2 linked regions of the Danio rerio genome follow. The main gene of each other region encodes a partner of the protein of the gene in region 2 in a complex. Links are inferred from orthologs where the notes say so. Each region holds a gene or a part of one and is shown on either strand. Other genes may lie near its edges.

Region 1 (15,816 bases), on a different chromosome or scaffold from region 2:
GGTTTATTTAAACTAATCTAAATCTATACAAAACAAAATAAAGGAATTAATAAAAAAAATCAAATATTAACAATATTATCAGCAAAAATAGTGTAATTAAAATAAAAATTAATGTGGTGTTTTATGAATTTATACATTAAAAATGTTGCAAACTATAAATACTATTTTTTAATTAATTTAGCATGTGTAATACAAAACAGTAGAAGTATATTGACTAGTTTCTATGGATAATGTGTTGATATAAACAAAAATCCCCTTAATAAAGTGTATTCTATAGTCTTGGTATAAAATAATTAACGCCAAATTAATTAAAATGGTTTTTTAACATATTTTATAGTTTATTATTATTTCAAAATAACTATATAATATTTTAAAATAAATGGCATATAATCCCAAAAAACAACGCCAAAAAGTTTATATTTCCATCGACATTTCTTTGTTGATCACTCTGGTCTGCGTGAAAGAGGAAGAGCGGACGCGCATGCGCATGTCAGTGTCCGTGATGGAAATGATGGACCGGACCGGATCATGGAGCTTGTGTCCGGACTTTTGAGCAAAGCATTGTTTTTAACGGGACTTTCTAACGAGACGAATGACAAGAGACGAAAGAAGATGGAGGAGAAAGCGCTGGAGGTGTACGGTGAGCCCTGATGACCTCAATCAAGAGAAAAGTCTGTGGTGTTTTCATGGCACGATGACATTGTCAGGCGGAAATACTATAGTATTTTTATATATTACTATAGTACTGAATAATCATCTTCATGGTACTTTAAGTAGTGCCATATTACTACTTTGTTAAGTCAATAAGAAATGTGATACTGGATGTATTTTATCTGATACGTCAAAGATCATATTAACATACTGATAAACAGAAAACGGGGTATAACCATGGTACATAAATGGTGTCCGGTGTTAATGCCATGGTATTTTTGTGGTTGAGTCATTACCGTAATTATGTACTCTATTTTTCTGTCACCATGGTACATAGTTACAATTAAAAACTTGGTTTACTATGCTAAATTGATTGTGGTTGTTGTGATTGTGGTATTAAATCATTACCGTAATAACATACCATAATACTGAATCATTACCATAATCATTTACCACAGTATTTCCCACAAACTTTAAAAAATGGTCTCAAATTATCATTTAACATGGTAAAAACTGAAAAGTATGTAACTGAAAGGTATTAGCATAACCAGCAGTGATGATGCTACTTTGTAATACCATGCTATTTTCATATATACCATAATAATGAATCATTACCATAATCATTTACCAAAATATTTCCCTTAAACTTGAAGGAATGAAGTTCAACTGTTTATATTTTATTAATGTATCATAGTATTAGTATTGAATCATTACTGTAATAACATACCGTATTACAGAATCATTACCGTAATCATTTACCAAAATATTTCTCTTAAACTTTAAGAAATAAAGTTCAACTGTTTTTATATTATTAATATACCATAGTATTAGTATTGAATCATTACCGTAATAACATACCGTAATGCTGAATCATTACCATAATCATTTACCACAGTATTCCCTTAAAATTAAAGAAATAGTCCCAAATAATGATATAACATGGTAAAAACTGAAAAGTATGTAACTGAAAGGTATTAGCATAACCAGCAGTGATGATGCTACTTTGTAATATCATGCTATTATCATATATACCATAATAATGAATCATTACCATAATCATTTACCAAAATATTTCCCTTAAACTTGAAGGAATGAAGTTCAACTGTTTATATTTTATTAATGTATTAGTGTTGAAACATTACCGTAATAACATGCCATATTCCGAATCATTACTGTAATAACATACCGTAATACAGAATCATTACCGTAATCATTTACCAAAATATTTCTCTCAAACTTTAAGAAATAAAGTTCAACTGTTTATATATTATTAATATACCATAGTATTAGTATTGAATCATTACCGTAATAACATACCGTAATGCTGAATCATTAACAACAGTATTCCCTTAAAATTAAAGAAATAGTCCCAAATAATGATGGAACATGGTAAAAAACTGAAAAGGAAGGTAACTTAAAGATGCTAGCATAACTAGCAGTGATGATGCTACTTTGTAATACCATGCTATTATCATATATATATATATACCATAATAATGAATCATTACCATAATCATTTACCACAGTATTCCCTTAAACTTGAAGGAAAAGTCAAACTGTTTATATTTTATTAATTTTTCATAGTATTAGTGTTGAATCATTACCGTAATAACATACCGTAATACTGAATCATTACCATAATTATTAACCACAGTGGCGATCCAATGGCGCAGTAGGTAGTGCTGTCACCTCACAGCAAGAAGGTCGCTGGGTTGTTGGTTCGAGCCTCGACTCAGTCGGTGTTTCTGTGTAGAGTTTGCATATTCTGCCTGCATTCCGGTTTCCCCCACAGTCCAAAGACTGTGTGTGTGTGTGGATGTTTCCCAGAGATGGGTTGTGGATAAGTTGGCGGTTCATTCCACTGTGGGGACCCCGGATTAATAAAGCCGACAAGAAAATGATTGAACTAAACACAGTATTCCCTTAAAGTTTACGAAATAATCTCAAACTATGATGTAACATGGTAAAAACTGAAAAGCAACATAACTGAAAGATATTAGCATACCTAGCAGTAAATAATGTTAATTATTATAATACTGAGTCATTACCGTAATCAAATCAGTATCAAACGGTAATGACCAGTGTATTATTAAATAGAATATACAGTGTGTTTTGATAGCAAAACTCTGTTATTTGTCATTTTCTCTCAGATATTTTTCTGTTTAAGGTGAAACTCTTAATATGCTGATGTTGTTGTTTACACAGATGTGATTCGGACGATTCGTGACCCGGAGAAACCCAACACTCTGGAGGAGCTGGACGTGGTGACGGAGAAATGTGTGGAAGTTCAGGAGCTCGGAGACGATGAATATTTGATCGTCATTAAGTTCTCTCCAACTGTACCACACTGCTCTCTGGCCACGCTGATAGGTGAGTATGTGACGAGATAACACACACACACACTCAAACGGACATCACTGCACCACACAGATAGCAGGAGACACAATAAAGGAAACACTTCTTGTTAGGGCTGGGCGATATTGCAAAAAAAATACATTTAGGAAAATTATGATTTTTTTAACCTTTTTTTTAATTTTACAACATTACTAAGGCAAATAGTTTAAATAGTCAAAAATAAAAATATTTTAACTAAATATCTCTTTATAATAAAATAAACAGAAGTGTTAAAGAGACTCTCAAACTTAATAAATAAAATGTTACAAAGTGTGTGCAATGGTAAAGCGTAAATACTGACAAAAAACAGAAATGTGCGCACATCTAGAAAAATCTTGAAGGCAGGTGCACGATCAAAAAACAAACATAAGTAGCAAAAGATTCAAAGTAAATCGGCACACTGCCACTTTAGCTCTCAAAAAAATTTTAATGTCAAAATTACAAAATCACTGTGATTTTGTAATTTTGACATTAAAATTTTTTTGAGAGCTAAAGTGGCAGTGTGCCGATTTACTTTGAATCTTTTGCTACTTAAAGCGTAAATACTGAACAGTCGAAGCAAACTTTAAGGTGTGAATAAGGGCGGCGGGGGGGGGGGGGGGGTCTCCCTATCGACCATTTGGGGAGCACCCAACTGTATAATGTGACGGCAGCCATATTGTAATACTCTTATTACGAGTCTACTATGTAAGCAGGGATCCATGAAAGGACCACGAAATGCAGAGTTTTTTTTACGTTCGCCATGCAGTATCAAATTCCATTAAAAAAGAAATCGAAAGTTAAAAATGACAAACCCGAAATTGCATGAAACTCTCAAGGAAACTCTGGAGAGTCTGGTAATGCGACATTACTATTTTATACCGAAACTTGCCTTCTAAAAGTGCTTCCTTTGTCTTATCCATATTTCTTAACATGTTGAACACACAAATAAAAAAAACTTGCAACTGCGTTAATTGTGTATTTTTTTAAAACACGTTAAATATTTCAAATTGATAGCATGCGTTAACGCAGTAATTTTGACAGCACTAGTTTATATACATATACTTACATTCACGTTCATATGTATCAGCTTGTCTGTTGCGCCACTTTTTGACTGTTTGGCGCCATCTAGTAAATAAATAATATGTAGGTTAGTGTTTGCTGTAATTAGCCGGGTTCATTTCTGTCAGCTTTGCGTTTAATGAAAGAATTAATAAACTATTACGGCTCAGAAGAATGTTTTTTAGCTAGCAGTATTAAGCAGGATGAGGTACATCCAGGATGGTTGTTTTGCCAGAATAAACGGTTCAGTACAATGGAAATACTATGAAAGTCATGGTTACAGGTTTCCAGCAATTTTCTAAATATCTCCTTTTGAGTTTGACAGAAGAAACTCAAAGTTATTTATAAAAATAACGAAAGTATTTAATATTTGGTCAGATTTGCTAGAATTATAACTTATATATTTCTATATCTAAACTACGTTAGTTTTACTTTAGTTACTTTTTAATAATTTAGATTCTTATTGATACTATTTATTTAGTAAGGTCACTGGCAGGTATATAAGCATTTCACTGCATATTGTACTGTGTAAAGGCTGATTTATACTTCTGCGTCAGGTGCACACGTATGCTACAGCACAGCCAACGCATTGACGCATAGCCCTTCACCGTGGCCATCGGCGTCGCTGACTTGCACCTCTCAAAAATTGTAACCACATGTTGCAACGACACGTAGTGCAAGCTCTGATTGGTCGGCTTGATATCGCTGACGAGTGAGGGCGGGGCCGAGAGTCGTGCCAGCATGGGAGCCCGATGGAGCGATTGTTTACAAGTGTGGAGTCCCGTAAAGGAGCTCCGGATGGAAAGTCTTGTTTTGTGTTTACCTCATAGTTAAAGTTGTTTCACATCCGCCTGTTCCTGCCTTAAAATGAGCGAGTTTGAGCCACTTGTACATTCAGGAAGTTTTCAGGAAAAGCAAAACACCAGCGAAGAAACTCGACACAGAGAAACATTTACACCACACTGCCAACTAGCGTTTCGGAAGTGTTAATGCAGACCAACAGAGACAGCGCACAGAAGTGTTAAGCCTGGTTTATACTTCTGCGTCAAGTGACCGGCGTAACCCGCGGCGCATGCAACGCGCGTAGCTGTGCATTTATACTTCTGCGCGCTGTTTCTGTAAATCGAAAGTTAAAAATGACAAACCCGAAATTGCATGAAACTCTCAAGGAAACTCTGGAGAGTCTGGTAATTCGACATTAACTATTTTATACCGAAACTTGCCTTCTAAAAGTGCTTCCTTTGTCTTATCCATATTTCTTAACATGTTGAACACACGTCGACCACAACAGGAAATAAAAAAACCTGCAACTGCGTTAATTGCGTAATTTTTTTTAACGCGTTAAATATTTTCAAATTGATCGCATGCGTTAACGCACTAATTTTGAAAGCACTAGTTTATATACATATACTTACATTCACATTCATATGTATCAGCTTGTCTGTTGTGCCACTTTTTGACTGTTTGGCTCAAAATTTTAACTAAATGTCGCAACGACACGTAGTGCAAGCTCTGATTGGTCGGCTTGATATCGCTGACGAGTGAGGGCGGGGCCGAGAGTCGTGCCAGCGTGGGAGCCCGATGGAGCGATTGTTTACAAGTGTGGAGTCCCGTGAAGGAGCTCCGGATGGAAAGTCTTGTTTTGTGTTTACCTCATAGTTAAAGTTGTTTCACATCCGCCTGTTCCTGCCTCAAAATGAGCGAGTTTGAGCCACTTGTACATTCAGGAAGTTTTCAGGAAAAGCAAAACACCAGCGAAGAAACTCGACACAGAGAAACATTTACACTGAACACTTCCTGAATGTACAAGTGGCTCAAACTCGCTCATTTTGAGGCAGGAACCGGCGGAAACAACTTTAACTATGAGGTAAACACTAAACAAAACTTTCCATCCGGAGCTCCTTTACGGGACTCCACACTTGTAAACAATCGCTCCATTGGGCTCACACCGCTGGCACGACTCTCAGCCCCGCCCTGACTCGTCAGCGCTACTAAGCCGTAGGGGTGTCACGATTTCGATTTGAAGCTGACCAATCACAGAGCTTGCGCTACGCACCGTTGCGATGTGTAGTTATAATTTTTGAGAGGTGCACATCAGCGACGGCCACGGCGTAGGGCTATGCGTCAACGCATAGGCTGCGCCGTAGCATACGTGTGCGCTTGACGCAGAAGTATAAATCAGTCTTAAATGCACAGCTACGCACATTGTATGCACCGTGGGTTACGCCGGTCACTTAACGCAGAAGTATAAACCAGGCTTAAGTGACTAACAACATTTGAATTTCAGGTTTGAAACAAGTAATTGTAATTTTTGGGTAGACTATTCCTCGCTCTTGTAAATAAAGGTTATTTACTGCAGTGTTGTCTTCTTCCTGCAGGTCTGTGTTTACAGGTGAAGCTTCAGCGCTGTCTGCCCTTCAAACACAAGGTACGTCTGCAAACGCTGTGATACTCTGCTGTGTGTGTGTGTGTGTGTTCATCAGTAAAGCTTCTCAAGTGTGTGTGTGTGTGTGTGTAATGAAGCGTCAGTGTGTCAGCGCTGTTTCTCTGGCCTCTGATGGTGTTTTCTGGTCTTCCAGCTGGAGATTTATATAACAGAGGGAACACACTCGATCGAGGAGGACAGTGAGTGTTCAGACCTGCTCTTTAAATCATGTTTACACCACTGCAGATCTTCAGCAACCCAAGAGTGTGTTCATGTGTGTCTGATTGAATTTGTGTATGTGTGTGTGTGAGACTATGAGTGTCTGTGTATGTGCGTGTGTCTGAGTATGTGTGTGCAAGAGTGTTTGTGCATGTGTGCGTGCGTCTGATTGAATGTGTGTGTACGTACGTATAAGTAAGTATGTGCGTGCATGCATGAGTATCTGTGAATGTGTGTGAGTGCATGAGCATTCGTATATACATGTGTGTGTGCATGCGAGAGTGTGCTGGTGTATGTGTGCTGTGTCTGAGTTTGTGTGTGCGGGTTAGTCCATGTGTGTGTCTGAGTATGTGTGTGTGCAAGAGTGTTCATGCATGTGCGTCTGATTGAGGGTGTGTGAGAGAGTGTGCGTGCATGTGTGTGAATGTGTCTGAGATTGTGTGCATTCATGTGTGTGTGTGTGTGTGTGTGTGTGTGTGTGTGTGTGTGTGTGTGTGTGTGTGTGTGTGTGTGTGTGTGTGTGTGTGAGTGAATGTGCTTTTGTTAATGTGTGTGTGTCTAAGTGTGTGTGAAAGTGCATCTGTGCATGCATCTGTGTAAGTGCATGTGTGTTCATGCTTTTGTCTGAGTGTGTTCTTGCGTGTGTGTGTGTGTGTGTGTGTGTATCTGTGTGTGTGTGCTCTCCTGTAATATTGTGTTTCTGTCAGTCAATAAGCAGATCAATGATAAGGAGCGCGTAGCGGCAGCGATGGAAAACCCCAACCTGCGGGAGATTGTGGAGCAGTGCGTCACCGAGCCGGACGACTGAACACAAGCACACGCACACACACAGACTTCCTGGAGGAAAGTTGCATCACCTCAGAAAACAAGAGAAGAGACTTAGCTTCATCCCTCATGTCCTCAAAGCCAACAGGAGAGGCTTCAGCTTCTGTTTACACTCAGATGAAGAGGATCTCACTGAAAAAACATCCCAAAAACAGTGGGATACTATATTTATGAACTACAAAACATCATTTATGGGCTATAAATCATCATTTATTCACTATAATACATTATTTATGGGCTATAAAACATACTTTATGAGCTAAAAACATAATTTATGAGCTCCAAACCATTTATGAGTCATAAAATATACTTTAAACATTATTTATGGACTATAAAACATACTTTTTGGGCTATGAAACATCATTTATTAGCTATAATACTTCATTTATGGGCTATAAAAACATACTTTGAACATTATTTATGGACTATAAAACATACTTTATGAGCTAAAAATGATCATTTATGAGCTCCAAACCATTTATGAGCTATAAAACATACTTTAAACATTTTTTTATGGGCTATAAAACATCATTTATGAGCTATAAATCATAATTTATTAGCTATAAAACATTATTTATGAGCTTTAAATCATCATTTATTAGCTATAATACATTATTTATGGGCTATAAAACATACTTTGTGGCCTATAAAACATTATTTATGAGCTATAAATAATCATTTATTAGCTATAAATCGTAATTTATTACCTATTAAACATACTTTATGAGCTATAAATCATCATTTATTACCTATAAAACATTATTTATGGGTTATAATACATTATCTATGGGCTAAAAACCATATTTTATAAGCTCCAAAACATTTACAAGCTATAAAACATACTTTAAACATACTTTATGGGCTATAAAACATACTTTAAAAGTTATTTATGGGCTATAAAACATACTTTATTAGCTAAAACGTCATTTATGATCTATAAATCATCATATATGAACTATAAAATATCGTTATGAACTATAAATCATCTTTTATTAGCTATAAATGAGTGTTTATGATCATGAGTTGGTGCAGTAGTTTTCGGTGTTGGGTAAAGTTACTTTTAAATGTAATATATTGTGATCTTAAATCACTTAAAGTAATGGGAGAGTATGTTAGCATTGATTAAGACAGGCTTGCGATATATTTCTTTTAATAGTAACTTTACCCAACACTGATAATGTCTGAACTAAATGATGTTGTTATGTTTTTTATGGTGTTTTTTCATCCATCCGTCCTCCATTCTGTAATTGTACAGAAAAGAGCAACATGAACATTCTGATAAACATCTCATTTGAAGTCGTGTTGTTTTGGGTGGAATTGAAGTCGAGTAATGATACTAAACTTGTTTTTAAAGAATTGTTTTGTAAGAGATGGTGATGATAATGAGCTTGTAAATATTTTGATTTTGTAAGGGAAAAGTCTATATTTGTAGAACTGGAGAGCTTATGAATAAAAACTTTCTCAGAGATATAAGAAGAGGTTTTTATATATACATGGAAATTGAATTTTTGTAGCGTTCATTTGTATGTTATAGGCCTGGACTTTTCAATGAAGCTAATGTAATTTTGTATAATCAATATAATTACAGTACACACTGATTGTAAATGAAATGTTAACATATACATGTGTACTTTGCATTATAAAAATATTAAAGATAATATTAACATTTAAATTCTTAGTTTCTGTGACATCTATATATGTTTTTTAATAAATTGTATACATAAGATATAATATATTTATTTGAAAAACATACTTTAATATCGTTATAATTTTTTACCTGGATTTTTAATTAGTTTATTATTTGTATTTTATACAGCTGGAAAACTCATGAAAATGAAATTCATGCACTTGTAAAATGTAAGAAATATAGAATATATAAGATTACCACACAATTGCAATAAAAAATCTATTTTTTTTATTTAATTATTACAATCTGTCAAATATCATAAAATATGTGAGAAGTGGTTAAATTGACATAATTTCTTGCCTTTTTTATTTATTTTAAACTTCTTAACATATTTTAATCTGTTTATATATATATATATATAATTTTATATATTTAATTTAATATTTAATTAACATAACTTACCTACATTGTTTGTTATCAATGGTTAATAACAGGAAAATGGCATTAAAATAAAATGTAAAAGGAAATTGTAATATAATAAAGTGTTTTTAACTTTTAATTTATATAAAATATTTTTTTATAAAATCTCGAATAATTTGTTTTACTTATAGGATTAATTGTACAATAATAACAACAGTAAAATTATACATTTTACGTTTATAATAATACAACTGTACAAATTAAGTTTCCAATATATATTTATACACATATCGTATAATTAAATATAATTAATTGATTTAATATGTAATTTAATATTTATATCCTTTGTTTTTTTTTTGTATACTGATTATTTTGATGGTAATTAAAATCTACATTCATATGCCATTGTGTATGAAATGTGCCAAATAAATGAACTTGTTTTGCCAAATAATAATAACGCTCACAATTCATAAAATAATAAAAATGTCAGATATCATAACTAAATACATTACATTTTAAATCTCTTAAACTTGTAAGATTATATACAGAAAGAATATAACCTGATCTTTCTTTTACTTTTTTCTAATAGCTTATTTGTTTAGTTATTAATAAATGCCACTGAAAATAAATGATTTATTGGATTTACAAACAATTAATATGGGATAAATTTAAACAAACAAATGAAGAATGTTTGTTTCAATTCTGCCCATATGAATTGTTTGCAACCATTTACCTTAAAAACATTGAATAAATCCAATGGATCATTTATTTTCAGTGACAGACTTCTCCATGTGGTGGCGCTCTACAACCAAATTCCCTCAAACTGCAGTCCTTCACATTTAACAGATTTACAGGCTCTATGCTTGACAAAAAACACAGTAAAACACAGCGTTTACCTTAGATTTACAGCACACTGGAGGCCGATGGGAAATTCAGCGGTGTGTTGTGTGTGATTTTGGCCGCAGGGCACTTCAGAACTGAGGATTTTCAAGACCATTATTAAATATTCAGCTTTAGTGAAATCATTCTAGACAGACATCAAGTATTAATATCAGACATTCAGAGTCGATCTCATCAAACACACACTTTCTGGAGTTATGAAGAGCTTGATGTGTGGAAAAAACTGTCGGAAAACATCCAGACCTGACAAAATGACAAATACATAAATACAAACATAATAAATACATGAAGAAAATGTAAAACAACAACAACAACAAAACAGTACAGAAGGCCAAACCTGTAAAAATAAATAAATAAATGATAAATACTTTAATAAATACATGAAGGAAATGTGGAAAAAAATCAGTAGGGAAGGCCAAACCTTGAAAATAAATAAATTAATATTAAATAATTTTATGAAAAAAGTGAAAAATTTAATAAGTATGGAAGGACAAACCTGTTAATATATATATATATATATATATATATATATATATATATATATATATATATATATATATATATATATATATATATATATATATACATACATATATACACACACACACACACACACACACACACACACACACACACACACACATATATATATATATATATATATATATACATATATACACACACACACACACACATATATATATATATATATATATATATATATATATATATATATATATATATATATATACATATATACATATATATATATATATATATATATATATATATATATATACATATATATATATATATATATATATATATATATATATATATATATATATATATATATGAATACATTAATAATAAATACATAATAAATAATATATTATAACTTAAAATCTGAAAAAAAAAAAACACAAATCAGTATGGAAGGGCAAACCTGTAAAAATACACAAATTAAATAATAATAAACACATAAAAAAATATATAAAGAATATGTAAAAGAAAATCAGTGTGAAAGGTCAACCCTTTAAAAATAAATCATAGTTAAAAACAAATAAATATATGGAGAAAATATGAAAAAATAAATCAGCATGGAAGGACAACCTGTAAAAATAAATAAATAACATTAATAAATACATAAAGAAAATGTGAAAAAAATCAGTGTGAAAGGTCAACTGTTTAAAAATAAATCATAATTAAAAACAAATAAATAAATGGAGAAAATATAAAAAAATAAATCAGCATGGAAGGGCAAACTGTAAAAATAAACAAATAAACAATAAATACATTAATAAATACATAAAGAAAATGTTAAAAAACAACAACAAATGAGTAGGGATGGCCAAACCTTGAAAATAAATAAATAAATAAATGAAAAAAAGTGGGGGAAAAAAATCAATATGAAAGGTCAAACCTGTACAAAATTAATATATTAATTAATAATAAATACACCAATTAATAAAATCAAACAAATCAGTATGGAAGGCCAAACCTGTAAAAAAATACATTAATTAATAATAATTACATAAATGAATAAAATCTGAAAAAAAAAAAATAAAACTAATCAGTATGGAAGGCCAAACCTGTAAAACTAAATAAAAAATAAATACATGAATAAATAAATGAAGAAAATCTGAAAAAAACTAATTTTGCTTTATTTACATGGTTAATTGTGTCATATTAACAGAATTATACATTAAGTTTCCAATACAATAATTCATTTTACATTTAATTTTGACGTCATTGTCCTGTAATAAACTTTGAATTGTACTTCTCGTTTATTATTTAACTCTGCATTGTACACAACAATAATAATGTTTAAATAATATTATATTTTCTGTTTGTTCTATTAACATGAAAATAATATAAATATATTTTTTTAGGTTTATATAAAACAATTTAGTGTAAACGGTCCAATCTTTTTTTTGTTAAATTCACACTATTAACTATATAATAATAATATACATTAACAGTTTAATTTTCCTGTTATTAACTTAGAATTTTATTTATTGTGTATGATTTAAATCTGCACTGTACACAACATTATTGTATAATTAATACTATATTATTATCTTTATTCTATTAGCCTTACATGAAAATAATAATGATATTTTGTCATTTTATATTTGTATACATGATATTTTAGACCGATATGAAGTGTCAACAAGGTCTAATAATCTTCGTTTTATTGACATAAATAGCTGTTAAAAATAAGAAAATGCATTAAGAGAGAAGATCATCAGCTTCTGAGCACATATGATGTGCATTCGGTGAGTTGAGCAGCTCTGAAAGCTTCCCCCAGTGTTACATAACATCATAACAGCAGCTCTGCTTTTATTATTATGCAGAAACAGCTTGATTCTCTTCATCTACAGCCTCACAAATCCCTCAATTTACAGGTTCACGAAGCAAAGCAAAGACGACAGACGGAAAATATCAAGCCGACGGCGTTCACTCATATTCAGAGACTCCGCTGGGCTTCAGCTCCGTGTGTTTATGAATTTATAATGCGAATTACAATATATATTACAACCCTGATCCCTACCGGTGTTTCGACTTGTTTTTATTTATCGTGTCCGTGTCGTACGTGGTCTCTGACTTGATTAAAATATATTCATAATGCCATAACTCGGAGGATCTTATTACCTTTGGAGGCGCGTGTGGAGGAAAGTCAGGGATTTGATTAGCTTACAGTTACACTCGAGGGGACGCGGGAAATATTTATTAAAATACATGTAACTTTAATAAATCCGGGCGATTTCTGATGTGTGTTATGATAGTGTACTCAACAGAATATTTATTGGTTTGTGTAAATGTCAAGATGTAATCACGTACCGTTTATCTGCGACGTGCGCGCGACCGGAAGTTTAGCGAAAAGTTCCTCACGTAGGCCTAAATTAAGCAATTTTTTTTCTAAACAGCTTCCAGTGAAATTGATTTCAGTATTGCTTCATACACAACATTAGTATATACAATGCTGTCGATATCACTGGAAATTGGTTCAAGTCTTCTTTTCTTAAAGATACATTACAGCTTTGTGAAATACTGAAATTTCCCTGCTGAAAAAAACAGCTTAAACCAGCCTAGGCTGGTTGGCTGGTTTTAGCTGGTCGACCAGGCTGGTTTTAGACGGGTTTTGGCCATTTCCAGGCTGGTTTCCAGCCATTTCCAGCCTGGTCTTAGCTGGTCAGGCTGGGAGATGACCAGCCAAAACCAGCTATGTCCAGCTTAAACCAGGCTGGTCAAGCTGGTTTTAGCTGGATTTATCTGGTCATTTTCCAGCCTGACCAGCTAAGACCAGGCTGGAAATGGCTGGAAACCAGCCTGGAAATGGCCAAAACCCCTCTAAAACCAGCCTGGTCAACCAGCTAAAACCAGCCAACCAGCCTAGGCTGGTTTAAGCTGGATTTTTCAGCAGGGTTGAACTGTTTTCTATTTTGGCTAAGTACACATTAGCCTTGCTAAGCTGTACAAATGTCTTTGTTTAATATTTTGATCTTTTGCACGATTAAACACCAACAAAAACACTGAACAGAAAACACAGAAGCTATGTCCAGCTTAAACCTGGATGGTTGGCTGGTCTTAGCTGGTCGACCAGCCCGGTTTTAGAGGGGTTTTGGCCACTTCCAGGCTGGTTTCCGGCCATTTCCAGCCTGGTCTTAGCTGGACAGGCTGGAAAGTGACCTGCTAAAACCATCTAAAACCAACTTGACCATTCTAGTTTAAGCTGGACATATCTGGTTTTAGATGGGCTCCCAGCCAGGCTAGGCTAGTCAAGCTGGTTTTCCAAAGCACAAGATGTGGGATGCGACCTGTGTGAGCCTTGGTTTATTTTTCTGCTGCTACCACGAGTCAGGTGATGCATCACTTTGGTTTTTACTCCACTGTACAAAGTTATTGAAATACAGTTTTTTGGATACCCGAGCTTGGTATTTTACATTGGTTTATTTTCATATTTTTCATATGGTTCATATATGACACATGTACAAGTTATAGCTCAAATGAAAGCTCTTGCTGGTGCTCATATGGTTCTAGCGTTCTTTTTACTGAAATATTTTCACAGGTCAAACAGTTGCTGAATGAATCGCCGTGTCTCCATGGCGCAAAAGTGAAAACAATACATTTATGATGAATAAGCACCCCCAGATAGCGCAGACAGTGATCAACCCAATGAAAATATCAACGTAATTTGAAGTCGTTATTGAACATCAAAATAACATTGTCCTTAGACGCTGGCTAGATATTAAATTTGGGTCTAAATCTAACCTAATATTAACGTCTTCTGCTGGGTACGAACACATTTCTTTTTAACATAATGTGATAATTCTACCATTAATGCATCATGGGGAGATTCCTGAGTTTGTAGTAACTGAAATGCCAACACAACAGCACTGGTCTGCAGAAGCACTGCTTTAGCGCGAATTCTAAGCAAACCGATGTGATCATTTGATTCAGGGAACAGCCGGTGCTGATCACACCAGTGTAATCATTTGAGACAAAGGGTTAAATTTAGTGCTGTCAAAATTAGTGCGTTAACGCATGCGATTAATTTGAAATATTTAACGCGTTAAAAAATTAACGCAATTAACGCAGTAGCAGGTTTTTTCATTTCTTGCTGTGGTTGACGTTTGTTTAACGTGCAAAGAAATATGGATGAGACCAAAGAAACCCCTTTTGAAGGCAAGTTTCAGTATAAAACTATTAATGTCACATTACCAGACTCTCCAAAGTTTCCTCCAGAGTTTCATGCAATTTCTGGTGTTTCATTTTTAACTTTCGATTTTTGTTTTCATGGAATTTGATACCGCATGATGAACGGAAAGAAAGACCTTCGCATTTAGTGACTCGGTGGTCCTTTAAGGTAATCAAAAATCGCTGTTTACATGGTCGACTCTTAATTAGAGTATTATCATAATCATATTAAAATCGAAGTATTGGTGTCTTATGCAAATGTACTCAGAAAGTGACAGATGATGTCGCGAGCTGTCAGACAGTGCATTCCTCTGCCTTTCAGCATGAGCCCTCCAATGTTTTATTAAGTTTGACGTGTTTCCCCCTTACACGCAAGTGTCTGCTTCGCGTTGTTGTGTCAGAATCCTTGTGAAATACTGCCATACTTTAGAACGCTAAGTTTAAGCAAATTTGATGAACGCGATCATGTGTGTTGAATCTGAAAGGAGTCACTCCGGCTGCCCTGTCCTGTTGTGTGTGAGTGTGAGTGTGTGTGTCTGTGCGCGCGCACACGCGTGTTTCTTAGCAACAAATCTGCATAAACGTCGGTAGCCACTTAATCAAAAAGTTAGGA
Region 2 (18,255 bases):
ATACAGCATTAAAAATGATAATTCACTTGAAAAAGGAGCTGCTTTTGATCTTTAGCAGGCTTTATTTAAGTAAAGCCCTGAAGGCATTTTAAGCTACAGACAAAACTGAAGTATATCAATATGGTTAAGAAATTGTGACCCATCAAAAAGTCTAACAGATAAATTCGATTTTAATAAAAAGTGTATTGTCTTTTTGACCAGTGCTGTCATCAACGCACAATTGCAGTACTCAAAGTGAGAATAAAACAGCTATTGTTCCACATTATGACCAGTTTACAGGGGAAGTTCACCCAAAAATTAGCATTCTGCCATCATTTACTTATTCCAAACCTGTTTGAGATTCTTTCTTCCGTTAAACACAAAAGAAGATATTTTGAAGAATGCTGAAAACCTGTAACCATTGACTTCCATAGTATATGTTTTTCCTATTATGGTTGTCAAGGGCTACAGTTTTTGTAAGCTTTCATCAAAATATCTGCTTTTGTGTTCAACAGACGAAAGAGAATAAAGACCAAGTAAAGGGTGAGTAAATTACAGACCTCACATTTTTGGGTGAACTACCACTGATTCAGTGCTTTCGGTCTACTTGAGCGTCATTCACCGGCTCAGGCAGAGTTGTATTTCCAGATGGCGAACTCTCCATTGTCGCTGCATGTGGCCAGAAGTCCTGCTTCTTTCGGGTTCCAGGACACGCAGTTGACGTCCTGATTGTGGGCTTTGGGCACGTGGGCTGACAGGGCGAAGATGGGCTGCTCTGGGTCAGCAGTGGGGTCTTCACTGAACACACGCACTCCATCATCACCACATGCGGTGGCTAAAGCACCGGTCAGACGACACCTGAAATCGGGAGAACCACAAAGTAAAACAATTAGTGCTCGGGAAAAATTAATCACATCCAAAATAAAAAGTTTGTTTTGACAATTTAGGTGTATTTACGGTGTGTGTATATATATATATATATATATATATATATATATATATATATATATATATATATATATATATATATATTTTTTTTTTTTTTTTTTTTACTAATTCCTTCCATTAAACACAAATTTAGAAAAAAAAATATATATATAGGACGGCTAATTATTCAGTATATACAAATTCGATAACCACAGAAACCCTGTAGCCATTTCTGCTCCTATATATACTGCACATCTTACCATGCAATATCATATATTGTTCTCCCATGGAATCCAGACAAGGTGCATATACACTTCCAGGACTCATCCGAAGAACCTAACAGAAACATAAAAGCAGAATTCTTAGATTTATATTGTCGACTTGACCGGATGCGACCGGCTGACCGGATGTGATGTATTCCAGTGTTGTACAAGCTGGTCAGAGCGCGCGAGAAGAGAAACAGGACTTTATTTGGTTATTTTTTGAATCATAAAAAGTCTATTAAAAAAAAAACTGTTCATAAACGCAAGTAAGAAAGTAATAAAAATAAATTTTTTAATGTTGTCTCCACATTCCCTCCAATATTTGTAGCGGTCTTTGAGTTTCTAGTATTCATTCCTTCATTAAACCATGTAAATGCACAGAGAATAAAGGTTCTTGCTTTCACGCTCCTTTATTTCGGACACTGCCAGAACAGCTCCTCTCCCAATGGTGCATGACAACACTGAAAATACTGTGCGACTGCCACAAGGGGGCGTATTCTGACAGTCGTGTCCAAATGTCGTGTGCAGTGGAAAGGCGGCTAAACGAAATATTAAATAAGAAATCAGTGGGCGTGGCTTGTTTTTCTTCTGAGAGCTGATTGGATGTAGTGAAGTCGGCATTTCATTCAGAGAGCCGTCTTTCGGATGAGACGTTAAACCGAGGCCCTGACTCTCTTTGGTCATTAAAAATCCCATGGCACGTCTCGTAAAGAGTAGGGGTGTAACCCTGGTGTCCGGGCCAAAGTCCCTCTATCTGCCCTTACAATCATGGCCTCCCAATCTTCCCTTTCCACTGAATTGGCTGTATCACTGTCTCTCCGCTTCTCCAATAGCTGGTGTGTAGTGAGCGCACTGGCGCTGTTGTCCTGTGGCTGCCGTCGCATCATCCAAGTGAATGCTGCACACTGGTGGTGGTGTGGAGAGACCCCCCCCCGCCTCATGATTGTGAAGCGCTTTGGATGTAGGCCATACACAATAAATGCGCTATATAAATACACATTACATTACAAGAAAGATGGGGAAAGGGTTTGGAGACAGTTATTACAACAGACTCATCCTCCTCACCAATTCAGTTTGTTGTCAAAACTGACAGCTGGAGGGGCGTGGTTAAGTATGTTAGCCACACCCAAAACCTCAGACAGGCCTAATCTAAGAATTTAACCGAAAACAAACAGGAAGGGAATTTTCAGATTTTAAATTTAGATTAGAAGGGCAAACTTTTTTTTTTTAATGACATGCACAAATGAATTTATACAAAACTAGCAAAGTGAGCTAACAAAATCAATACGGTTAGATTTGATTTCACGGAGACTTTAAGATTAACTATGCAAAACTGTATCTAAAACTCCTCACCATCTCCAGTTGTCGACTCTTTCCAGATCTTTACGGTTCGATCGTCGCTACAAGAAGCCAATCTCCGTCCCTCAGGGTCAAAGGTCAAACTCCAGACAGTGGATTCATGTCCTTCTAGCGTGGCTCTGCATTCCCAGTCATCATCTTCCTCTTTATAAATACAGATCTTGTTGTCGTAACTGGCTGATGCGAGAAGCTGCAAAAGTATCAGAAAAAACACAGGTCAGTGTTGACAATTGGTGAATTTTTTTCCTCGCTGCTGTCGCCACTAGCTTGCATGGTATCTGTAGAGCTGCGCACTGATGGATTTGCTTTTCACTGTTTGGATTCTCAGTAGTGATAATTAAACCACACTGAACTGAGCTAAACTGAACTTTAACATTGAAAACTAAAACTACACGGTTTCAATTCACTATAATCTTCTATGTGAGGCTGCTTTGACCAAATCTACATATTAAAAGCGCTGTACAAATAAAGGTGAATTGAATAATGTTGATCAAGAGTGTGAATATTATACCTCCTGCGTCGGGTGCCAGACGACATGTTTTACGTCCTGCGTGTGTGAATTCACAACACTTAAACACTCGTATTCGTCCTCCTCATCCACTACAAGGAAAATGAAGCATTTAACACAGATAAATCATCCTGGTAAAATCTTTTAAGATGAAACATTATAGGCAAAACCAGTGTTTATTCATCATAAACAAATATTGTCACTGTTTTGGAGCACACTAGCTTATAGATATCCTTAAAACTAACATACTAAAACTACCATGTATAAAAAAATCTTTAATTTCACTGGAGCTTTAATAAGAACTGTTTCTAGTCGCATTATGAACCATTTATCAGCACAGTGAGACTTAAAATTAATAAAGGTTTGTATTTGTGTTACAGAAAGACACTGTATTCTCCATATTTCTGAGGTACCTTCCCAAATCCAAACGCTTTTGTCTCTGCTGCAGGTGGCCAGTAAGCTTCCAGATGGAGCCCAAGCTACACATTTCACCTCATTCTCATGACCTTCTAACACCGTCAGGCACTGGAAACACACATAACAAACATGTCAGATCAACTTTCTGGATTTTTTAAGAGTCTAAAATTAGCCTTTTAGGGCTCTATTTTGATGATCCATGCGCAAAGTGCAAAGCGCAGGGCGCAAAAGCATTCAGGGTAGAGGTGTGAACCTATACTGGTCTCACGGTTCGGTTACGATTATCATGCCTTCGATTCGGTTCAATTCGATATCTCGGTGCATCACGGTGCATTGACGATGCTTTCCATATACAGTGTTATATTTTAGGGGGGAGGCTATAACAAGCTGTCTGTATAAACACACAGACACACAGCACCACACTGTCTGTCATTCAAACACATACACAAACATAGACAGCACCAAAGAAACAAACACACACACACATACACACACACACACACACTTAAGCCTTCACAACAGGGAGGGCTCACGCTGAGCGGAGCAGAAAAACAAAAAAAAGAAGCACTTTTCCGACGGTCCCTTACTCAGCACGAGCTCTCCCGGCTAAACACATATTGCGAGGGCTTAAGCGGAGCAGTGCTCGTAATGTTGAGCGAAAAAAAGAAAAACAGCTGTGAAACATAACCAGCTTTGTCTTTTTGTAGGAAACACACTTTAGATCTTTTTAGGGTAAGCGGTTTTTGAGTTATTGCCGTCTATACTTGAATGTGTGTCAGGAATATCGAAAACAAAACCAACTGAACCGCGCTGAGGTTTGTAAAAACTCGCGCTCACCTCCCTCGCGACAGAGCGCATAGGAGATAAATGACGTCAGTACATAATAACCGGTTATGATTATTACTGAACCGATACCGAATTGTCTGCATCTGCATCGCGGTGCACCGAAGAAACAATTAATTTTGACACCCCTAATTCTGGGCGTGTCAGAATCCACTTTTGCTATTTTAAGGGCGGAAAAATCCGCTTTGCGCTGTGGTGCATGGTCTAAAACCGACTGGACGCAGCGTTTCATACATCTGAAATTTTTACTGCATACACCGAATCACACCCATATTCTCCTTGTACATCAGAATGAACGTGAAACTGAGCGCATGTGCACGAGCGCAAAACCCCTCCCTGCCTCCTCCCCCGTATGAATATGCTTATTACTATACTTTGGCAAAACCCAATAAAAAAGTAATGGCAAAAGCAAGCAAGAAGAGAAACTTTGAACAGAATGCGAATTGGAGGTGCTGCTTTCAGAGCTAGACCGGGGAAAAACGGTGTTATTTGCAAGTTTGTCCTCCGGAATTAATAACAAAAGAAAAAAATTAGAGTGGGAGAGTTTAGCTGATGCGGTTAACACAGTTGGGTCTGAATGATGTAAAGGTGTAAAATGTTGTAGATTCTTTAACTGCGTGAGTGGCGTAGCTCGTAAAACGCATGGCAACATGTTTTGACACGTTTAAGCATGAACTTGGTTCAAATCCCACATCTGATGAAGACGTTCTTCTTTTTTTCCCCCGCTACATATCTGATTTTGGCTACTCTTCATCACGAGGAAGACAAGTAAGAATCATTAATAAGTTTGTGCATCATATATTATTTGCACATTTATTGAATGGAAATGTTTCGGATTCACGTATACAAATTCGTCTTCAGATGGCACCATTATAGCAATGTGCGTGCAGTATATCGCTCCGATTACATTGGGCAAACAGGCGACCGCTGCAAATTGCGCTTTAATGTTTGGCTGGTTAACTGCATGGTATGGAAACCTTATAAACCTGCTAGACATGCGGATGAACCCTTCTCATACAGCTGCCATTACACGGCTCAAAGACGTGGTGTGCAATTTAACACTACTGCCTCTAGGAGTCTCCCATGGAATTAAAACAGACACGCACAAGAAATGTGCGTCCGCCAGGCATGAAGTAGGCGTGGACCGACGCACATTCTCACGTTAATTTCATCGTTAATAAATCCAAACGCGAGCGTAAAACCTGCCGTACGCAAAGTTTTTGTGTGTACGCAGCCTTGATACATGAGACCCCTGGAGCCGCCTTCCCAATTTTCTAAATATGTCTATTTCATATTTTTGTTATATTATTATTTTTATAATATATATTTGATATTTTTGATTTATTAGAGGTCGATGACATATTACATTATTTTTTTAAAATATTTTATTTGGGAGAAATTTTTATATCCAATGCAAGTGCCTTACAACAAAACCATTGTTTTTGGTTTTCCAAAGGGAATTTTGGTAATACTGTAGATCTTTACGATAAATAAAATCTAATTCAGGAAGGAGACTGCAGTTTATTGAAAAAATTTACACTGATGAAAGTTTTTTTTTTCAGTTTTGTTGGATTTTTTTGTTTATTTTTGCTGTAATGTTTTTGTTTTTATTTATATTTATTTATTTATTTTTAATAATTTGTGCTATTATTGTACATTCTGGTGGATATGTTTATTAGATTTTTTTCCTTATTGCACTTGTGTTATACTGCAATAAAAAAAGAAAATTGAAAGAATGAAAAAAAATCAGGCTTATACAAGCACACACCTCAAAATCCTCATCCGTCTTCTTCCAGATGCATGTCGTGGCATCAAAGCTGGCTGAAGCCAGGTATTTCCCACAGGGAGACCAGGCTACTTTTCTGACTGTGCGCTGGTGTCCATCAGAAAGGACACACTTACATTCCCAACTGTCCCCTGAGAATGAAAACAAACGAGAGGCTGAAAATGCAATAATGCTTTTTTTCTATTTTTCTGGATGCTATTAATGTTTTAAAGAGACTATATAAAAGTCCTAAAACTTCAAAAGTCTTGTAATTACCACCAGTAACACCAAGGATTTTCCAATGAGTATTTCAATGAGTGCCCTGTAAAGGGTTCATATTTTATATTATTTAAAATTGTATTAATATTTTGTTATCATGATGGAGCAAAATGTAAAAAAATTGTCAAAAACAGAACAGCAAATACATTAAAAACACAGTGAGACCCCAAAATAATTATCTAATTGCATTTGAAATATTTACTTTTCCTTTAAATCTATAAGTTTTCCCTCTCAATAAGCTTTTACAAATTTTAAATATAATAAAAATTAATATTATCAAAATTGTTTTGTGTTTTATGTTTGACTTACAAGAGTACACTATTCCATTGTGTTTGGCAATGCGAGCACTTGCAATCCTTTTGGAAATACCTAATAGATGTAATCTCTAAAACTATTGTTAAAGAAATCCCTGTTTGCCCTAAATCTGTGTTCTTGGTCTTTTCCCACCTGCCTTATCGCTGAAGTCATATGAACAGAAGTTTTAAAATCTGTGTCTATTGCATACGAAATGCCTGACTGCCATTCACTGGAGAAGTATTCATGGTCCATCTTTGTCACTCTGGATTGAGGAAATGTCTTCTTGTATAGCAATGCAAAGACTGACTTACTCAGTCAAACAAAAAATGCACATATTTTACAAGATTTGGGACTTCTTTCTTTATTTTTTAAGTAAGAATGGCCTGAACGTTTAGTAATCACAAACAATGTGACTGTGTTAATGTGCACTGTGTTTGTTATGACTAACTTTAATATCTTTTTCACTTTCATTGGAATGTATGTGTGTTGAACTGTCATTGTCTTAATGTCTTTTTTTTTCAAAATTGCCCTTTTTATTATTATTATTTTATCTTATTTTAGTTTATTTTACTTTTATTCATTTATTAATTAATATTTTTTGCATGTACTGTATGTGTAACATATATATATATATATATATATATATATATATATATATATATATATATATATTATGTCTCTGTCGGGATGGGGTTGGGTGTTCTTTGATTGGTATTTGGTTACTAATACATTATGTATCACATTTTTCTGAAACAATAAAAGTATTTAAAAAAATTGTTTTATATATATTTTATATATGGCTTCCAGCTAACTCTATCAAACCTCTTCAGCTGCTTCAGAACGCAGCAGCACGAGTGGTCTTTAATGAACCTGAAAGAACACGTCACTCCGCTACTCATCCGTTTGCACTGGCTGCCAGTTGCTGCTCGCATCAAATTCAAAGCTGATGTTTGCTTACAAAGCGACTTCTGGCTTTGCTCCTTCTCATCTGCTCTCACTTCTGCAGATCTATGTGCCCTCCAGAAACTTGCGTTCAATGAATGAACGTCGCCTTGTGGTTCCGTCCCAAAGAGGGAAGAAATCACTTTCCCGAACTCTCGCATTCAATCTGCCCAGTTGGTGGAATGAACTCCCTAACTGCATCAGATCGGCAGATACCGTTCCTAAGGTATGTGCACGATTTTTTATTTACTTTTTTGTTTGTTTTTTAGGACAACAGCATCTCCAGCAGAAAAGATATCCAAAGATGCCGTATAAATTGTAAAGAAATCTGTGTTTTTGAAACAAATGAAGACAGCAGAAGTCAATAATTAATTTCAATTATTTAGCCTGACATGTTTACTGCTCCAAAATATTATAAATCTTTCAAAAAATAAAATATATTGTATTCAAAGGAGGAAAATTTTGTTGTTTTTTTACCCAGGCATTTAAAAATAACTTTTAGAGCAGTAATTACAATACCGTGAAACCAAGGTTATCATACCGCCAGTATCTTATACCGGCAAATATTTTTCTGACCCCATAACTCTGTAGTTGTTTTAGAAAATATAAATATGTTTTAATATGTTTACATATACTTTCTCTGCGCAATTATGCTTAACTAATAATTGTCACATCCAAAATGCTGGAATTGCTCACACATTAGGGTACAACGGTTGTCCTTGTGCTCAATTTTGACACCAACTATAAAACCATTTTTACACTACAAAAACAATACTCACACACAATAGCATTAGAAAATAAAGCCTGTACTTCAGTCAAAACCTATGGCCTCTGATTAAGTTAAACATTGGTGAAATACTCCACAATGAAACCTGAGGGAAACCTAGACATTCAGAGTTTGTGATGAAGATGAGATGGTTTCTTTGTGCAAAATAGATCTGAGGATTGAAATAAAATGTAGCTGATTTATTTTAATTAAGATAACGTTAGAGTTGGGTTTTATATTCGTCCATTCATTAAGTGACAACTTGTGACATGCTTCCTATAATGTTTATCATGGTACTTTGTATATTCGGTCTGAAATCACATGCAAGTATGGCTTAAAAACAACATTAACACTATTTATCTAACTGTAAACAATGATTTACTTTGATAATCATTAGCTTTATATTATTAAGTTAAGGAGAAAGTCCGAATGTCTAAATATAAAACCAGTTTTGGGTTTAGTGAAGGGCGAACCGTGTATACATAATTCTAATACAACAGAAGGGTTAAATAAATAGATTTAAACGTGTGCTGTACACATGTATTTTGCTATGTTTTACCTTCTTTGCCCCATATTCTTATCGCACGGTCTCCGCCGCAGGTCGCGAGCGTCGTGCCCGCGGGATTCCACGCGACGTACCAACAGCGCGAGTCCGGGTGCGCGCTCACCCTGTGCTGTAGCTCCAGCGCGCCCTTCATTTCATATAACTGTGTGTTATTAATTATTACTATGTGACATGTAAATGTTTCCCTGTCGGCAGCACTGTTCTCTCTCGGATGTCACACAACTTCAAGTCTTCTGTTTATCAGCTGCTTCCCGCTTCCTGTTTTGTGCTTCAGTGTCTTGCGGTTGATAGAAATGCGCGGCAGTAGCGCCACCATCAGGACTGTAGCGTTTCATTCAAGGGATAGTTCACACAAAGCTAAATATTTATTTGCTCACCCTGAAGTAATGCCAAACCTTTGAACACAAAACAAGACATTCTGAAGAAAAAAAGCAGCCGTTGACATCCATAGCTGGAACAAAAACTACTACAGAAGTCAGCTAGTTGTGTTTCCATCAGTGGTGGAAAGATACTGAAAAATCCTACTCAAGTACCATTACTTGCCTAAAAATGAAGTGCAAGTAGAGTAAAATTATATGTTGTGAATATTACTCAAAGTATGAGTAAAAAGTAGCCCTTTCAAAAGTACTCAAGAGTAGTGAGTATTACGCTGGTAAAAACTGATGCGTTGTAGTTTGTGAATGTGTGTAAACGTAAAATTCTGTAGTGCATTGAGTTATTGCCCAGCAAGCACACAACGTCATAAGACGTTAATATTAGGTTAGTTTTAGGTTGTGATGTCAGGTGATCAAAATTCAATATCTAGCCAGCGTCTAAGGATAATAGCCGCGTTTTCACTATCGCGCCTAAAGCGAGCGAGCCACGGCCAGTCGCGTTTCCACTGTCACTTCCGGGGGCTAATCAAGCCAAATCAGGGCTTTCTTGGGGCCAGCGGCCGGCCTTTTTCGGCCCCCCAAATACCTTGGGCCAAAGAGGGCCATCTGGGGCTTTGGGGCGGAGTGAAAGGAGAGGCGGGCACAATTTTCTGATCGCACACAAGTACATGTGCCAAACACATAAACAAATAAATAAATAAACAAGGGAAAGAAAACATCTGGAACAAATAGGCTGGGGTCTTTTTGCGTATGATCGCCCTTATGTTTCTCTTTTAAATGTAAGGCTGTTGCATAAAATAATAAAGTAGTTTTAATTTATATAAGTGACTTTTCTTTGCTGCGTCCTCCTTGATGTTTCAATAACGCGTAATAATCTTTACACCATATTAAAGACACAGCAGACAGTGAAGGTTTTCGAGAGTTTTTGTCAAGTTTAAAAGGTGTGTTTGTGCGAGTTTAGATGCCTGTATGTGTGTGAGACCAAGGAAAAGAGCTCTTCCTTCACAACTCTGTTGATGCCGTACGGCTTTTTTCTTTTCTTTTTGTTGTTTTTATTTATTTTGGAGTTAATACACTATATGAATACAACAGAAAGACATTAAACTTTACAAATTTCGTGTCCACTTTTGTAGGCTCAAAACAATAGTGTCATATCTAGATAAAATAGCCTAAGCCATATTGAAATAATTTAAAGAATTACAAATATCAGATATAATAAAATCACATTAAATAAATAAACCAATATAAAACTAACAAAAGCTAGCTATAACAATTAGGTACTATATCAAACTGTTTTAAAGCCTTATTAAACTTTCATTTTTTAAAAGCCTCTCTGAAAAAAAAAAGATTTTAAATATTTTCTAAAAACAATAAACAGCGGAGAATGTTTTAAATATTATTTATAAAGTATTTGGATATGATGATATTAATCAAATCATGCAAACAGAGCATTTTCAGGGTGAGTGAAAGCAGAAATAGGCGACCTTTTTTCTGTCTGCAGCTGCGCAGCACTTTACAGACGCATTGGGAAAAACTGCAAGTTCAAAATGTGTTCTGTGTCCTCAAACAAGTGTGTATGTTTTTATATGACGTGGGGCCTGTTTCAGTAAGGAGGTTCAAACAACTCAGAGTTTAAACTTGAACTCTGAGTTGATTTACCGAGAGATTAAAAACTCTGAGTTTTCGGTTTCAGAACAGCTGATCTGAGTTGGGTCAATCAACTTTGAGTAGACCAACTCAGAGTTAAGCGCGCACACCGTGACTTTAAAAAGGCATTATCAATGGAGCGCAGACATTACGAGTGACTATGGCAACATCTTATAAAAGAGATCACCATTTCTTTCTCCAGCTGAACTTGATGTTCTCATGCAAAGTTATAGCAAATATGAGCGTATATATTTGAAAAGAAGCAACCATCAGTGAAGAAGAGACAGTTAGCGTGGGAAAACAGCTGCTCAAGTTAATGCCTAATTTCACTTTTTAAGTATTTAAATATTTAAGTATAATAAAATAAGTAATGTAATTTGTGACGTTCATATTTTTTTTCTAAACTTTTTTATACATTTATTAGTTTTAAATGATTTAACAATGCACTTGTGTGTCTGCCTTTTTTATTGATCAAGTGATAGAGGTTAATATAACATTTAGAAGGTAAGCAGTGCTAAAAATAATTTTTAGAAAGAATAATAATCCCATTAATCTAGTTACAGTGCATATCGAAGGTGAATTCAATTTAATTATTTATTAAAAAAGCATAAGCCATTCTAGTACAGTTCTTCTGTGTGTGACTAAAATGTAGGCAATAGCTGTGTTTCCATCCAAATATATTACATAAATTTATGTGCAAAACTGGAATATTGCATAAAAGATGCGAATAAAATTCCATCCAACGAGTCAAAGAGAAAGAAAAAATCGTCACTTCCTGATTAAACTGGCACCAAATATCAACAGTAAAAGCAGAATTTACTGTGGTAGAAGAAGCTGCGTCAATTAATTCTTTATTTAGCCTAATTAATGTACTTGCGCCTCGATGTCAGAAGACAATGCTGAAACACAATGAACACGTGGGGGCGTCTGAAGCCATGAGACGCGGAGACTCTTGACACGCTCCAGACGTTCGGAGGTAATTAATAATATACACTAATACTGAAACAGTTAAGGCATTTTAGAATGACTAAAACAATATTTAAGACGTGTTACAGTGTGCTCAGCCTGCCGGTTTGTTCATTTACACACATTTTCATTATCTTATGATCATGATCTTTTTTTAATGTACATGCTGTAATTTGTTCAGTAAAAGTGTTTCCATCGTAGTTTATGCACAAATTTTCTATCGAATAAAAGTGTATCCTACTCAGTTATGCGCGTTTTTTATGCATATTTTAAAAAGTTATGTGCATCATGACGTTTCTATCAATAGTTTTTATGCACGTATCCAAAATAAGCATAAAAATAGGTGGGTGGAAACGTAAGGCTAAGGCGAGAAATACCGCTTCATCTTTAAAAAAAGGGGAGGAGACCGACAGAAACTCTGAGTTTAGAGAATAAAACCTGCTTCTGACCAGGTTAGATTCACAGAGTAAGTTACCACAGTAACTGACTCTGAGTTAAAGTTACCTTTTTTTCAGAAACAGGCTTGACTTACCCTGATTTCTCGAGTTTAACAAACCTGCCATTTTGAAACGAAAAACCCAGAGTTTCTCTCATTTCAGGGTTAAAATACTCTGAGTTTTCACTTAACCTCCTTTCTGAAACAGGCCCGTGGTGTCATGTTCACCAGCGAACAACCACCAGATGTCGCTGGTAAACACACACACTTAGAACTACACTTTTCCTGGACTACAACTTTATACATGCTCTTCGCCCACACACCTGCTTTCTCATTTAGCTTGATTTTTATTCACACCTGAGGACTTTCAGAGACTAATTAACACACACTATTTACGCCACACATTCACTCCTTCAGTTTGCCGAGTCTTGTTTATCTGTAAGGTGACATTACAACGTGTTATCCTGGGGCCTGTTTCAGTAAGGAGGTTCAAACAACTCAGAGTTTAAACTTTAACTCTGAGTTGATTTACCGAGAGATTAAAAACTCAGAGTTTTCGGTTTCAGAACAGCTGATCTGAGCTGGGTCAATCAACTTCGAGTAGACCAACTCAGAGTTAAGCGCGCACACCGTGACTTTAAAAAGGCATTATCAATGGAGCGCAAACATTACGAGTGACTATGGCAATATCTTATAAAAGAGATCACCATTTCTTTCTCCAGCTGAACTTGATGTTCTCATGCAAAGTTATAGCAAATATGAGCGTATATATTTGAAAAGAAGCAACCATCAGTGAAGAGGAGACAGTTAGCGTGGGAAAACAGCTGCTCAAGTTAATGCGTAATTTCACTTTTTAAGTATTTAAATATTTAAGTATAATAAAATAAGTAATGTAATTTGTGACGTTCATATTTTTTTTCTAAACTTTTTTATACATTTATTAGTTTTAAATGATTTAACAATGCACTTGTGTGTCTGCCTTTTTTATTGATCAAGTGATAGAGGTTAATATAACATTTAGAAGGTAAGCAGTACTAAAAATAATTTTTAGAAAGAATAATAATCCCATTAATCTAGTTACAGTGCATGTCGAAGGTGAATTTAAATTAATTATTTTTTAAAAAAGGATAAGCCATTCTAGTACAGTTCTTCTGTGTGTGACTAAAATGTAGGCAATAGCTATGTTTCCATCCAAATATATTACATAAATTTATGTGCAAAACTGGAATATTGCATAAAAGATGCGAATAAAATTCCATCCAACGAGTCAAAGAGAAAAAAATCGTCACTTTCTGATTAAACTGGCACCAAATATCAACAGTAAAAACAGAATTTACTGTGGTAGAAGAAGCTGCGTCAATTAATTCTTTATTTAGCCTAATTAATGTACTTGCGCCTCGATGTCAGAATACAATGCTGAAACACAATGAACACGTGGGGGCGTCTGAAGCCATGAGACGCGGAGACTCTTGACACGCACCAGACGTTCGGAGGCAATTAATAATATACACTAATACTGAAACAGTTTAGGCATTTTAAAATGACTAACACAATATTTAAGACATGTTGCAGTGTGCTCAGCCTGCTGGTTTGTCCATTTACACACATTTTCATTATCATATGATCATGATCTTTTTTTTAATGTACATACTGTAATTTGTTCAGTAAGTGTTTCCATCGTAGTTTATGCGCAGATTTTCTATCGAATAAAAGTTTATCCTATTCAGTTATGCACGTTTTTTATGCATATTTTAAAAAGTTATGTGCATCATGACATTTCTATCAATCGTTTTTATGCACGTCCAAAATGAGCATTAAAATAGGTGGGTGGAAACGTAAGACTTAGGCGAGAAATACCACTTCATCTTTAAAAAAGGGGAGGAGACCGACAGAAACTCCGAGTTTAGAGAATAAAACCTGCTTCTGACCAGGTTAGATTCACAGAGTAAGTTACCACAGTAACTGACTCTGAGTTAAAGTTACCTCTCTTTCAGAAACAGGCTTGACTTACCCTGCTTTCTCGAGTTTAACAAACCTGCCATTTTGAAACGGAAAACCTAGAGTATCTCTCATTTCAGGGTTAAAATACTCTGAGTTTTCACTTAACCTCCTTTCTGAAACAGGCCCCTGGTCTTGGTTTCCCGTGTTTTGATCTTTGCCTTGTTTATTTATTTAATGCTGTTTGCTGCCTGCCTCTGACCAACTGCCTGTTGTTATAACTTTGGATTGCCCTCATACATCTGTTTGCCGGTATTGACCACTGCTTGCCTGACAATTCTAATAAACCTGCACGTGGATCCAAACTTCTGTTGTTGGTGTCACTCCCTGTCACTACACGTGGTAAAATTAAAAAAGTAAATTTTAAATGCATGAAGAGCTTTATTAGTGCATGGCTGCTGAGCGCAATGAAATAGGCTATATTTTATTATGTGCTGCTCTTATGTGCTGAAACACTGAACACTTTCCTTTACTTAGAATATAATAAGCAACACCTTTAAATAAAGGGAATAACCTGTTAAGTGTTATAAAGCCTATAGGGAAAAGTTCATGTTTCAGTTCTCTCTGGAGCATTTGACATGAATGTTGGACAGCGTCTGTCTAACTGAGGATGTTATAAAATACATTTTATACCGAGTCATTCATGGAGAATTTTATATATGTGGTTTTATATTATGGATGTGTGCGCTCCCTGCGCTGGGTCCCTCCGTTAGTGGCAAGACCACTGGATTTCGATGCCAACAGTCGGTTGGTGAGTAAATGAATATGATGAATGAGAACACACAGGTATGTGCGTATTGTAGTGCTGTACAGTAACGTGGCATTTGTTTGTTTTGGTTGTCCTAATTTTAATAGTTTCGTGATGATGTGGTGTGCATTATCTGCCTGATTCCCGCTGAAGTGGACGGATTGAGTGACGTTCGATTCGGGGGATGTTCTGGGGGCAGGGTTTGCATGACGCGCTGCGAGCTATTAGCCCGACAGTGGAAACGCGACATGATTTCGGCCTCACTGCTCAACCTCCCGGGCGATTTGCCTGGCCTGGCCCGATAAAAGCCATAGCTCGCACTAGCCCGATAGTGGAATTGCGGCTAATGTTATTTTCATTTCCAATACTGACGTCAAATAACATTTGGTCTGTTTTAGGTTGTTAGAAAGTGACGAAAATTCAACATCGACCCAACATCTAAATCCAACATCATATTGATGTCAAATACTGACATTTATTTGTCTGGTATTGCAACCAAAATCCAACGTCTGATAGACGTCATAGTGATAACGTCCTCACAACGTCAAGCTGTAACATCATTATACGTTGATATTTGGTTGGTTTTATGATGGACGTTGGACAATGGCGTTGGCCTGACATTATGTTCTGATGTCAACCTGATGTTCATTTTCAAACAAAATGCAACGTCCCCATGACATTGGGGTTCAACGTCAATCTGACTTCATGTTGACTTCTTGTGCTTCCTGGGTGTTTAATGCCATTTCGGTCATCATACTGAAAACATCCGTCATCAAACAGTCTTTGGATCAATGTGTGTAAAGAAGACATCTTCTTGGACACTTTAAATACTTACAAGCAGTTTGCTGCATTTACAAATTGCCCATGTCTTGAGGTAGTTCATTACGATGTGATTTACCTTCTATGTGAGATTTGATTGGACTCAAAGGAGTGAATTTTCTAACACTCATAGACAGGAAAAACTAAAGTAGTGATTGCAGGTTGAAGGAAAGTATACTGAATTCACAATTTTACATTGTACCTATGATTGATTAAAACCTGCATGTAATTATATGTGTAATTATCTTTTGTAATTAGACTGTTGACCATCCCATCCACCTTAACCCACCTTTAAATCTACTCATACCACCAAACCCATCCCTAACTCTACCCTTATGCACCAGAAATGTTCTGCAGTACATTATGAACACTGTAAGTGCATTGCATTTATTTTTTGATGCAAGTATCTAGAAGTTAAGGCCATTTAATATAAAGCGGACCAAAATGTTACATTAGCATGTCCGTGAGGACATCATCATAAGGTGTCCACATCATTATACCTAAATAAGTAATAAAAAAAATAAACAAATACTTTGAATTTCATAGAGTTTTTTTCTCAGTATAAGAAACGTTTCAGGTAAAACTGCATTAGTGTCAATAGTGTACAAAACTGACTGAGCCTTCTTAACATTACTTGGTATAATTTGATAGCAAAATATGAAGTCACATCTACTTGTTTGTCTTCGATGTCATCAATATACCCTTATAGCATTTATGAACTTTGTTTTTATTTTTATGATCTACTTTTATTTTTATTGGGCTGCATTTTTAAAAATGCAAACCCAGATGCAACAATTTCTTATGCATTTCCGTTTTGGTAATTTAAGCAAATATACTGTGTTTATACAGTGCTCAGCGTATATAAGTACATCCCACACAAATCTCTCTTTTAACTTCATATTTTTAATAGAAAGCTATACAATATTATATTCGCACTGCACTGAAGCCAAATCTGGAGCTTATCTGACAAAATAACTTGCGATAATGGTCCAAAAACTAGTACAGCCAAATGTATTTGTTCCAGAAAAATATTAAATACAATTTTTTTTAAAAAGAGGAAAAATCAAGAGAAGCAAAAACATTGACAAATTTAGTGAAAATATGTAGGTTGTCATTTCTTTGCAATATTTTGATTGAATTGAATTGTTTTATGATTCAATTTCTAAATAAGTTTGGTGACTAAAATATTATTTTAATAAATGTAACAGTTTAATAGTTCTGATGTGTTTACATGCACCAACATTGCCAATATTCACTGTGAAATGGATAAAAATGTTCATTTTCAAAATGGGGTGTCCTCAATTGTGCTGAGCACTGTAGCTCAAACGGCTTATTTGTGGAACAAAATTGCACATTGGGAACCTTGTGTTTATTGACAATGAATGAAATAGACTATTCTCAATCTCATTGTCTAACACAGTGATTCCCAAAGGGAGGATCAGGGATATTGGGATCCTTCAGGGGTGTCGCTTGGTGATTTCCAAAAATCAAATTAATTTTATTAAACTATTAGAACGAGCATGTTTTGTCTATATGCTACAGAAGATAAAAAATAATAGGAGTTAACAGTTATAAAACAACACACTTTGTTTCTATTGATTGTTGACCACACTGGGGTCTCATTAAGTTAGATTAAAGACACACTAACTGGGTCAAATGCAGCAGATTGATTTCATGGCACCAGGGTAAACTTTCTAACACTTTTACGGCAATCATATACATCAAAATTAAATACAGGCCACGACTGAACAAGGAGGATGATCTCCAAAATTAAACAAAGAGACTTGTGCCTATTTCTCTGAGGGTAAACATGACCTCTCAAGTTAGCAAGTTGTTTTTAACACTACAAAAATAGTTAAGACTGCAATCCCAGAATAAAGTATTGGTTTTAACCAATCAATATAGTACAGTAAACATCCATTTGTTTTGTTGAAACGTTAAACGAATCTGACCAAGCTATTAGCTTATATAAAACAGGTTTGCCTTTTATGTAGCTGAAAATACCACAGGCCCGATTTTGCTACTGTGTAAAACATTTCAGCAAGATTTTTTTTATATTGCATTTTTTTCTACTGAATCGTTCAAACATTTTATCATTTTAGTTTGTTCATTCATTGCAACTGGAAAAACAACACACCACACAACCGCACATTTTTCAGCAATAAGTACAATAAAACACTCAAATAAAAAAAAACTTTTTAAATCTCTTTGTATTTTTGACCGCTGTTTCGCGTAATTTCACGGTAAAACTCTGGAAATCTCCACTACATTCCTCTCAGCGGCTCCTCTCAATGACAGCTGAAGAAGTGACGCGGCTGCCTGCTGTGTTTTGATTGGTCGAATTCACTGGAGGCTTC

What was found.
Region 1: ciao1 (region 2) and ciao2a share a complex: the UniProt entries of both Homo sapiens proteins name them as parts of the CIA complex. The link is inferred for Danio rerio from reciprocal best matches to the Homo sapiens genes CIAO1 and CIAO2A.

The regions. Positions count from the first base shown.
Region 1 is NC_133200.1:1,560,844-1,576,659, forward strand, and holds ciao2a (cytosolic iron-sulfur assembly component 2A), read left to right. Parts: upstream 1-504; 5' UTR 505-528; coding exon 529-640; intron 641-2,856; coding exon 2,857-3,021; intron 3,022-6,464; coding exon 6,465-6,514; intron 6,515-6,665; coding exon 6,666-6,711; intron 6,712-7,437; coding exon 7,438-7,538; 3' UTR 7,539-9,227; downstream 9,228-15,816. UniProt on the Homo sapiens protein: Component of the cytosolic iron-sulfur protein assembly (CIA) complex, a multiprotein complex that mediates the incorporation of iron-sulfur cluster into extramitochondrial Fe/S proteins.
Region 2 is NC_133183.1:6,291,532-6,309,786, forward strand, and holds the start of ciao1 (probable cytosolic iron-sulfur protein assembly protein ciao1), read right to left. Parts: upstream 9,153-18,255; 5' UTR 9,044-9,152; coding exon 8,905-9,043; intron 6,214-8,904; coding exon 6,065-6,213; intron 3,562-6,064; coding exon 3,450-3,561; intron 3,129-3,449; coding exon 3,040-3,128; intron 2,719-3,039; coding exon 2,523-2,718; intron 1,243-2,522; coding exon 1,167-1,242; intron 838-1,166; coding exon 606-837; 3' UTR 1-605. UniProt on the Homo sapiens protein: Key component of the cytosolic iron-sulfur protein assembly (CIA) complex, a multiprotein complex that mediates the incorporation of iron-sulfur cluster into extramitochondrial Fe/S proteins.